2 linked regions of the Macaca fascicularis genome follow. The main gene of each other region encodes a partner of the protein of the gene in region 2 in a complex. Links are inferred from orthologs where the notes say so. Each region holds a gene or a part of one and is shown on either strand. Other genes may lie near its edges. The genes, in order: NTS and NTSR1.

Region 1 (4,441 bases), on a different chromosome or scaffold from region 2:
CCATTGCTCTCCCCTCTCTACTACATTTCTTTTGCAGGTTGTAATGAACTGTTATTTCTAATTTAAGGAAATAAAAAAACAACTTTTTATTTCCCCCAATATAATAAACAAAGGCAAAGAGCTCACTTTGTTTTCATTTAAACTGAGACCAATATACCTTTCATCATACCCAATGTAAAAGGCATGGAAACAAGTTCCTTTAAAAACATTTACAGGCACGTAAATATGTGTGGCAATTAATTAAAATTGCAAAATACTGATTGATAGAACTATAATTTCTTTAGCTGTCATATCAACACCTTTAACTTCTTTTAACTAAAAGAATTTTTTTTTTTCAAAAAGGAAATGCCTCTTAAGGAACTTTTAAATCTGGATGGGAAGTTATTACTAAAGGAAAAGGATACCATATTGATAATGAAAGTTCATATGTTCTTCAACCCAGAGTTAAAGAAAAGAAAAAGTTACCTTTGATGTATGCATGCTGGTCAATAAATCTGCTTCTAATGCTTTCATTTCCTCCTCTGAATCTGAGTAAAATCAAAATCAAGTTTACTATAATCACATATCATATAATTATATCATAATCTACAGATTTTAGGTTAATTTTAAAAAGTAGTCTTAGAGGTTAATGTCTTTCTTATGTATTTTCTTAAAAATAGTAATCTTAAAAAACAAATTTTAGGTATATTTTAGCATAATAGGAAGCTAAAATAGTAGAAGCACTTCTAAGAAAATAAGCATATGATTATTTGTTCAGACAGCTGTTGATGACTTCGAGTTGTTTAAACTTTGAATTTCAGATTTTTAAAATGTGATTATATTGTATAACACATATTTTACCAAATATGCTAGAGTAGTTTATTTCTTACCAGCCATAGTTTACCTATATAGAAAATATGCATATTAACATTTAAAAACACAACATAATGAAGATTATACAAGAGACTTTTTCAAGACAAAACCAAAGGGAATTGCTTACTGATAATTTTAGAATAATACAGATACTGAGATTTACTTAACTTGAGATGCTTTTTTACAAAACATACGTTGAAAGAATTGTATTTGTACTTTAAGTAAGAATTCGGAATTATGTATCCTTAATTTTATCATAGGTGTTTAAGAAAATTGTTTAAAGCACAAGTAGAGCTATTCAACAATACATGTACAATAGTATTGAAAATGGGTCTCTGGATTTTTTTTAAAACTCTATCCAAGTTTCTGTTAATGAATATTTTACAGAGAAGGAAAATTTAGAAAATAGTGTACGGTAATAAAAATCAAGTTAAAAATGACTCTATCTTTCTTGTACTTCACACTCAGTAAAAAGAAATGTCAGAATCGGAGAAACTATTGGCTTAATTTTACCTAGAACCTAAATTATACAAGAGATCTTCTCTCCTTATTTGTTAGAGACATAATCTGTTTTAGGAATTTATGAACAATGTATACTCAAATCCTCATAAGTTTTGCATTATTACAACAAGTAGTTTCAAGTTAATCATCACAGTGCTTAATCAATAACCCAGTTTTTCTTCCAGAAGTATGTGAATCTTTAATCTCATATAACTTTCAGATAAAATCACAATTGTAGAAAAGTTTGTTTTTTCTCATAAGATTTGAAAAGTAGAAGCTGAAAGTTATGTTCTGATGATTAAAATAAATTTAAAATTTTGCATAAATCACTTTTATATCTTCTTAGATTTTAATGTCATAATTTAAATCAAATGATAGCATGAGTTTGAGTTAAACATTTCAATGTCATATTTATGATACATAAAAGCACGGAGCAGATTAAATTATTTTTGCTGCATTTACTTCCTAAGGTGTTCTTTTCCCTTTGAAGTGGTCATTCAAATATTTCTTAAATATTAAGTACAGCCTTTTGCAATAGTTGTAATATTTCATGTTATACCTTTCAATTTAAATCTTATTTTCAAAGTGTGTTATTTATAGATATTTAGGACTATATAACTTCTCCTTTCACACCACATGCAAAACACTCTGAAGTCAAATCATTTCCATCAATATAAGAATACCAATTCTCCAACTGTATTTTGTATTAACTTAAATGGCATGGAAAAAATGCCAAACAGTTATATTAATAGCATACTTATTAGACTATGCAAACTGTATTCTCAAAAAGATCTGGAATATTTTTGTATTTTTCTAGAAATGAAAATCTACAAATAATGCTTCATTCATTTTTCAGTAAGCATCCATTTGCACTTTATGTGTTATCTTAACACAAACAATTAAGAAAATAATATGGGGACTATTACAAGGGCATGAGGGCCACCGTTTCCTAAGAGATTGAATGAGGATGAGAGTAAAACATTTTAAATGGAATGGGATTTAATGATGGGTTTGCAGGTTGACAGCCACTGTCTCTGTACTTCTCATTAGATAATGATCAGCCTAATTGAAAGTTTTGTAAGGTTTTTTTTTTTTTTTTTTTTTTTTCCTCTAGTGGTTGCATTCCAAAGGGGGTCATGCAGTGTTTCCTTGAAATCCCTTTTATTGCTTTGTAGATTTTAAAAGGGAAAATGCAGCTCTCAGTAATCATAAAGGCAGAGAAAAAGATATTCAGTTTCTGTCACTAAAAGGTAAATCCTGAATAAAAGGGAGCAACTCTTCTCCCTCGATACATGAACATAAGTAGCAACACACTGCAAAAGAGAAAAAAGAAATCACTTCAGGGAGTTGTGAAATTCTGTTTTGCTTACCTGAGCACAGACTCCAGGAACTGAAAGCCAGGAGTAGCATGCATACAAGCTGGATTTTCATTCCTGCCATCATCTTTCAGCCTTCTAACAAGCCAATTCCATAAAAGTCAGAAGCACACTGAAGGGGGCTCTCTCTAGCACTTCCTCTTGCCTTCAGCTGGCTTTGAAAGTGAGTGAACTATGAGAGGTGCTCTGGCCATTCCCCTATATATATAAGCAGGAGGATGATGTCATTGATTGTACAGGCATTATCTTTGCAGGATGTGCCCTATCTTCACCTCTATCCTTTCCCCCTTCGCCCTGCTTTCTCCTCCCCCTTTCCTTTGTCCCCCTTTGCTCTCCTCCCCCATTTCTGAACCTTGAGTGAAAGTGACGATCTTCCCTAATTGCTGCTGCTGCTGCTTTGGATTTCTGACGCACAGAAGGAGTCATTCAACTGCACTGCTATGTACAGCATACTGACAGAGAACCCCCAGTATCAACCTTTTCCCACTTCTCATTCCCCCACTGCAAAAGTCATTTTGATTTTGTGAAATATGAGATCTGTTATTTCTAATTTTTAAGTAAAATCTCAAGGATGAATGCATTAAATCAGTGATTCTTTAGGCTTGAAAGTTCTTGAAGAGTTAGGGGCTTTTCTGGTAATTCAAACTTCTGAGCAAATGTTTAGTGGTTCCAAAACTAATACAGGTTTTAAATAATCCACGCTAGAATAAGATGGAATATAGTCAGAGAATCAGTTATAAAAATTAAGCAAATAAATTTAGAGAATAGAAACAAAGCCAATAAAAAGAAATAATAGATCCAGGGAATAAGATATTATTTCCCAACAAATCAAAAATATTTTATTGTAAGTAATGAGAGATGACTGAACTATGTGTGCTGACTTTGGTTGAATGTATTAGAAAAACAATTTCATGTTTATACAATCCAGCTCTAAATTACTTAAATGTTAGCACATAAAAATTTGTATTGTTGTATCACTGACTTTTTTTTTCTGTACATTATCTCTTTTTGTGCCTATATTTTTCTGCTCTTTTTGAATTCATTCTTGATGCCATGTCTCATTCTTTGTATAATTCCCTTCTCAACTGTTTTTACTATTGCATAAGCTTACTTTCCCTGTTATAATACTCTTTTCATCATAAAAATGAGATTGTATTTTTGGCAAGGAGACAATCCTAAATAACCACCGTTCACCAAAGTCACTTTTCTATGATAGTCTTCGTGTTTTTAATGGGTTACACTGATACCCATTCTTTGTCTGAGTTCTGAAAGAAAATTGCTCAAAATGCCTTTTAGAGTAAAGCTTTCTTCTTGTAGTAAGCGTTTCAAGATACATGGGGTGATTTGACAAGTCAATGCTGTTAGAGATGTGAATATTTGAATGTAAAGTTGTCTGAGCATTGTTTAATTTTTAAATAAATCAATCATATAGTAACAGTTGAGAAACAAATAGGATTGATGCCTATAGATAACTGATTTATGTTATACAATCTATGAGTTTAACTTTTTCACCTTTACCCTAAACTTAAGGAAAGAGATTAATTCCAAGCATTTAATAATTACTCAGAATAGTAAGGAGTCTTTCATATAATACCAGGAATTTAATAATAAATGATATATTTATTACTTTTAGTTTGTTTTGTGAACTTACATAAAATACGATATCGAACATACGTGGAGGAAAGTTTCTGTAAAGTATTTGGTTGACAAAG
Region 2 (4,500 bases):
GGACGAGTGCCTGTGGCTGGCCGCAGCATGACTTGGCCAAATCTGCCTCGCAGCCTCGAAGCAACAAGGCTGGGCAGGTGGTGCTTTGGGAGGCAAAGTGATGTCCCACAGGTGCCCAATCCCAAGTACCCGGCAGAGAACCCACGCACGCCAGGGAGGACACTTTCTTGGGGGTGGAGCCGAGCTGTCGTCACACCCCTGTGCTTTTCAGCTGTTTGTTTTCGAGGATTGTGGAGGCTGGTGAGCTCCTGGCCTTTTGCCAGGGGAGCGGGAGGATCAGGGGTCTGAGCGGGGACACCTCCTGGGTGGGCAGTGACAGCACTGACCCCTCCACTGCTCACCTTCCGAAGGATTGGGTGGCTGTCGCCCCTGGGGCCCCTCCACGCCCCTGGCCAATGCCGATCAAAGGCAGGAGCTTGGGGAGAGCAGATGAAGCCTCAAAGGGAGCGAGAGGTCACTTATCACTGCGTTTACCCCACGGGCCGTGCCTACTTCTGCCTCTGGGGAGGGCAGGGACTCTTGCGGCAGAGGCAAAGCAGCCCTGACTCACTGCCTGCTACCAGTGTCTGTGGGAGGGGCCTCCCCCAGAGGAGACACCTGTTGCCACCAGTTCTTCGTGCAGCCGGGGAGACTGGGAGCTCAGTTCTACCCCCCACCCCCCAGTCCACCTGGGTGGTGGCCAGTGGAGGGTCAGTTAGGGCCCAGGTGACGCCCTGCCCGGCACTGCTGCCCCCACCCCCACCGGGCACACTGGCATATGAGGGCTGCCCAGGCAACTACAGAAGCTTAGCTGGGAGGCTGCCGATGCTGGTGTGTCGGGAGCCAGGGGGACAGCCAGCCACCCCAGCCCCTCTAGCTGGGCAGAGGTGGGCGACTCTGCCTGGATCCTTCACCCTCTGGCTTCCTTAGCCCACCAGAAATGGAAGAAACCCCACACCTCGAAGGCTGCTCGTGTCCAAGGTGCCATCCAAGGTGCCCGACCAGCCCTGACTTCCTCCCTGGACACCAACCTCCGGCTCGGGACTTTGGTTTGATCAGTCCTCCCCTCCAGCCACGAACCTCAGCCAAACTGATTCCCAAGGGGGCTTCCCACCTGCATTCCTACGGCGCTTTGCTCAGACCCTTGGGGGGCCCTTGGTCACTCGGCTCCAGTTTTACGCACCTCACCACAACACCACCACCACCCGCAGAGCCTCACAACCTTCCCAGCAGAAACATCGTCCCCACCATCCAGCAGTAATAGTACCTGTGAGCGCTTCTATGTGTCGGGGGCCATGCAAACACTTCCCATACATTCTCTCTCAAATGCTCTACCTTCTGAGGTCAATGCTAAGACTACCCCATCATACAGATGGGAAAGCTGAGGCTAAACTAGGAACCAGCCCAAGATGGCATCAGGTTCTGCTCTGACTCCCCAGTTTGGGTCAGGGCAGGCAGTTGGGAGGCACTGGCAGAGTCAGTCTGGGGGCTTCTCTGCAGAGGAGAGGACGTCACCTGTTGGGGGCACAAAGCCTTTTGAGAAGCTGATGAAAGGGACCCCTTCCTTTGGAGACGCAGGTGCCAGCGCACATGTTTCCATTAGAACTTAAGGAATTCACAGACGTCGGAGGCCCAGCCACCAACCCCAGGGAGGTCACAGGCAGGGGCTCCATCCCCTCAACAGGAGGGGAGAAGATAGGGGCTGAGCCTGGCAACTCCGGAGCTGCACCCAAGCTGCCCCAACCGCCTTCGCAGCCTCACAGGAGTAGACTGTCTCTGTGACCTCTCTCCCACTCCCTACCCAGAAGGCACACCACTGGCGTTGCTTTTGGGGTGAAGGAGAGGGGAGCCCCGGGGCTGGTTACTGAGGCTTACCTGTATGACGACTTTGACAGTGGCGGTGTGGATGGTGGGGGTGCACACCAGGCCACCGGCGTGCTGGCCGTCGGCGCTGCGGTTCTGCTCGCCCATGGTGAACAGCATGGGCACCGCCAGCAGGGCCGAGGCGAGCCAGATGGCGCTGATGAACTTCTTGGTGCGGCTTCGGGACATGAGGGTCTTGGCCTTGAAGGGGTGGCAGATGGCCAGGTAGCGCTCCACACTCAGGCTGGCCACGTTGAGGGCCGTGGCGTAGGTGCAGGCGTCGCGCAGGAAGTAGTAGCCGCGGCAGCCCGCGTCGCCGAAGGCCCAGGGGTGGTGCACCCAGATGAAGTTGTACAGCTCCACCGGCATGGCCAGCAGCAGGGTGAGCAGGTCGGACAGCGCCAGGCTGCCCAGGTGGTAATGCACCGTGCTCTGCAGACTCTGCAGCGACTTCTTCCGCGCCAGCGTGAACGCCGTCACCGTGTTGCCCACGGTGCCCACCACGAAGAGCGCCAGGTACACGGCGGTCACCAGCACCTTGGAGTAGATGTCGGTGTTCACGTCCAGCTCGCTGCTGGGTGCCGCCAGGACGCGCTCCGACGCGTTGCCCGAAGCGTTGCTGAAGCCCGGGGCTAGCAGCCCCGCCTCCAGTCCTGCCTGCGCCCGCTGGAAGGGGTCGGCGGCCGGCGTGCCCGGGGTTCCCGGCGTGGAGCTGTTGAGGCGCATGGTGGGCGCTGGGGTCCGCGGCTCTGTCCCGCGCCTCCGGGGCTGGAAGTCCGGGCGGATTGGGCACGTCTCAGTCGGGGACCGATGAACGGGAGCCCAGAGGAGGGCGCGTGGCGAAGACCAGCGGGCGCGCCGTCCAGCCGGGAAGCGCCAGACCCAGACGCGCCGCCCCGAGCTCCGGGCTCCGCGCTCCTCCGGACTCCCAGCTCCGGACTCCCAGCTCCGGGCTCCTGGCTCCAGACTCCGCGGTTCCTCGGGCTGTCTCCGGGCTCGGCGCTTGCCACCGGTTCCGGGTGCCTCTGATCTCCAAATCGCGCGGTTCCCCAGGCTCCCGAGGACAGCGCCCAGCCTGGCTCGGGCTGCGCGGGGCGAGCTTGTGGCGCCGGGAGGAATGCACGCACGGCTGCCCCGGCGCGCTCCCCTCCCTCGCTCCGAATCTCCTCCCTCGCGCTCTCCGCGCACCCTAGCCCCGCACACTTCCCGCCGCGCCCGCGCCCTCCCGGCTCTGCGCGTCTCCACGAAGCCGGCGGCCGCGCGGCGCGCCCAGCAGTTGGGGGTGGCGGCGGAGGAGGGAGGCAGCCCCCGCTGTCGTCCCCGCCCCACCCGGGTGCAGCCTGGCGGGTCGCCCCCTCGCGCTCCCCGGGGCAGGGCGGGCTGGGTTGAGCGCTCCAGGGAACCAGGATTCCGGGCGGGTGCGGCGGGTATCGTGCACCGGGCCCTTCCTGCCACCCTTTTCCCTGTTCTCCGCAATTTCTCGCTCCGGCTAGTAAGGGAACTATGCACCCCCCCCAACCCTGGGCTCGCTCAGTGGGGGTGAGGGTGTATCCGGAGGGCAGGGAGGGAGGAAGCTCCCCGCTGGCAGGGCTGGGCGGCTGCGCAGCTGGTTGGGCCGCCCCCCTACTCCTGGGTGTCCACAGGGTGCCAGAAGCTGGGTGCCCAGGGGGTCTCCAGGACCACTAGAGATTACATTTCTTGTGATTCCTTTTAAAATCTAGCTGCAGTCATGGGCGTGCCTGGTCTGTGAATGCGTATTTCTGGGATATGCCCAGTGGGAATGGTGGGGGCTCAGGGCATAGTTATCACCTGGGGCAGGGGCGTGAGGCAGTACCGAGGGACACCTGCAGAGGCTGAGGAGCTGAGGGGCTGGGTCCTGCAGAGGCTGAGGAGCTGAGGGGCTGGGTCCTGCAGAGGCCAGGAGCCACAGATGGTTTCATCAAAGTCTAGGGAGGGGTTAATGAGGGAGGGCGGAAAGCAGGTGCCCAGAACAGCACCCTCCCCACTCAGGGCCCCGCACCTGGCACCCTGGGCCGGTCTCATGATGCTATGGGATGTGATCCCCTGGGTCCCTTATTACTGCCTGGATTTGTCATCAGAAGTCACCCTGAGAGCCCACACCCCAGCAGGATTTGGGAGGGGCAGCCCCACAGCACGCGTCAGGGCCTCCTCACAGGCCCTGCAGGCTTTGCACACTCCCTCCCTCGGAGCGCCTCACAGGGTGCCCCTGCCCCTGGCTCGGGAGCCACGTGAGAGCGAGATTCTTGTCCTTTCCCTGTCCCCGCAGCGCCTGGTAGCACTGGCATAGCACTGGTAGCACTGGCATAGCACTGGTAGCACTGGCATAGCACTGGTAGCACTGGCATAGGTGACCAGGCACAAGCTTGTCCCCTGCATGTCTGGGTTGCCCAGGAGCCCCCAGGGCACTACTGTCCCTTCTCTAGGCCCTCCCCGTCCCCTCCCCTGCTCCCTCCTCCCCAGAACCCCTGGGAGAGGTTGGGTAGAGCTGCTGCTGCGTGTGTGCAGGGCTGGGGAACCAGCCTGGCCTTTGTGGACGTTGCTGGCTGCAGCTGTTGTGCTGGGAGCAGGAAACCTGGGCAGGCTGGGGCAGGCGTTGCAGGGTGTTGAGGGAAGTGGGAGGCTGAGGAACCCCCTCCT

What was found.
Region 1: the proteins of NTSR1 (region 2) and NTS are in contact, whole or in part, in a crystal structure (PDB 4BUO), measured with the Rattus norvegicus proteins. The link is inferred for Macaca fascicularis from reciprocal best matches to the Homo sapiens genes NTSR1 and NTS. Residues at the interface, in NP_001102437.1 of Rattus norvegicus: Ser53, Asp54, Leu55, Asp56, Asn58, Phe128, His132, His133, Tyr146, Met208, Val224, Cys225, Thr226, Pro227, Ile238, Arg327, Arg328, Phe331, Cys332, Tyr333, Ile334, Ser335, Asp336, Trp339, Phe344, Tyr347, His348, Tyr351; in NP_001095851.1 of Rattus norvegicus: Arg157, Arg158, Pro159, Tyr160, Ile161, Leu162.

Annotation. Positions count from the first base shown.
Region 1 is NC_088385.1:92,769,388-92,773,828, reverse strand, and holds the start of NTS (neurotensin/neuromedin N), read right to left. Parts: upstream 2,906-4,441; 5' UTR 2,797-2,905; coding exon 2,724-2,796; intron 528-2,723; coding exon 466-527; intron 1-465. UniProt on the Homo sapiens protein: Neurotensin may play an endocrine or paracrine role in the regulation of fat metabolism. It causes contraction of smooth muscle.
Region 2 is NC_088384.1:118,771,738-118,776,237, reverse strand, and holds the start of NTSR1 (neurotensin receptor type 1), read right to left. Parts: upstream 3,078-4,500; 5' UTR 2,569-3,077; coding exon 1,855-2,568; intron 1-1,854. UniProt on the Homo sapiens protein: G-protein coupled receptor for the tridecapeptide neurotensin (NTS). Signaling is effected via G proteins that activate a phosphatidylinositol-calcium second messenger system.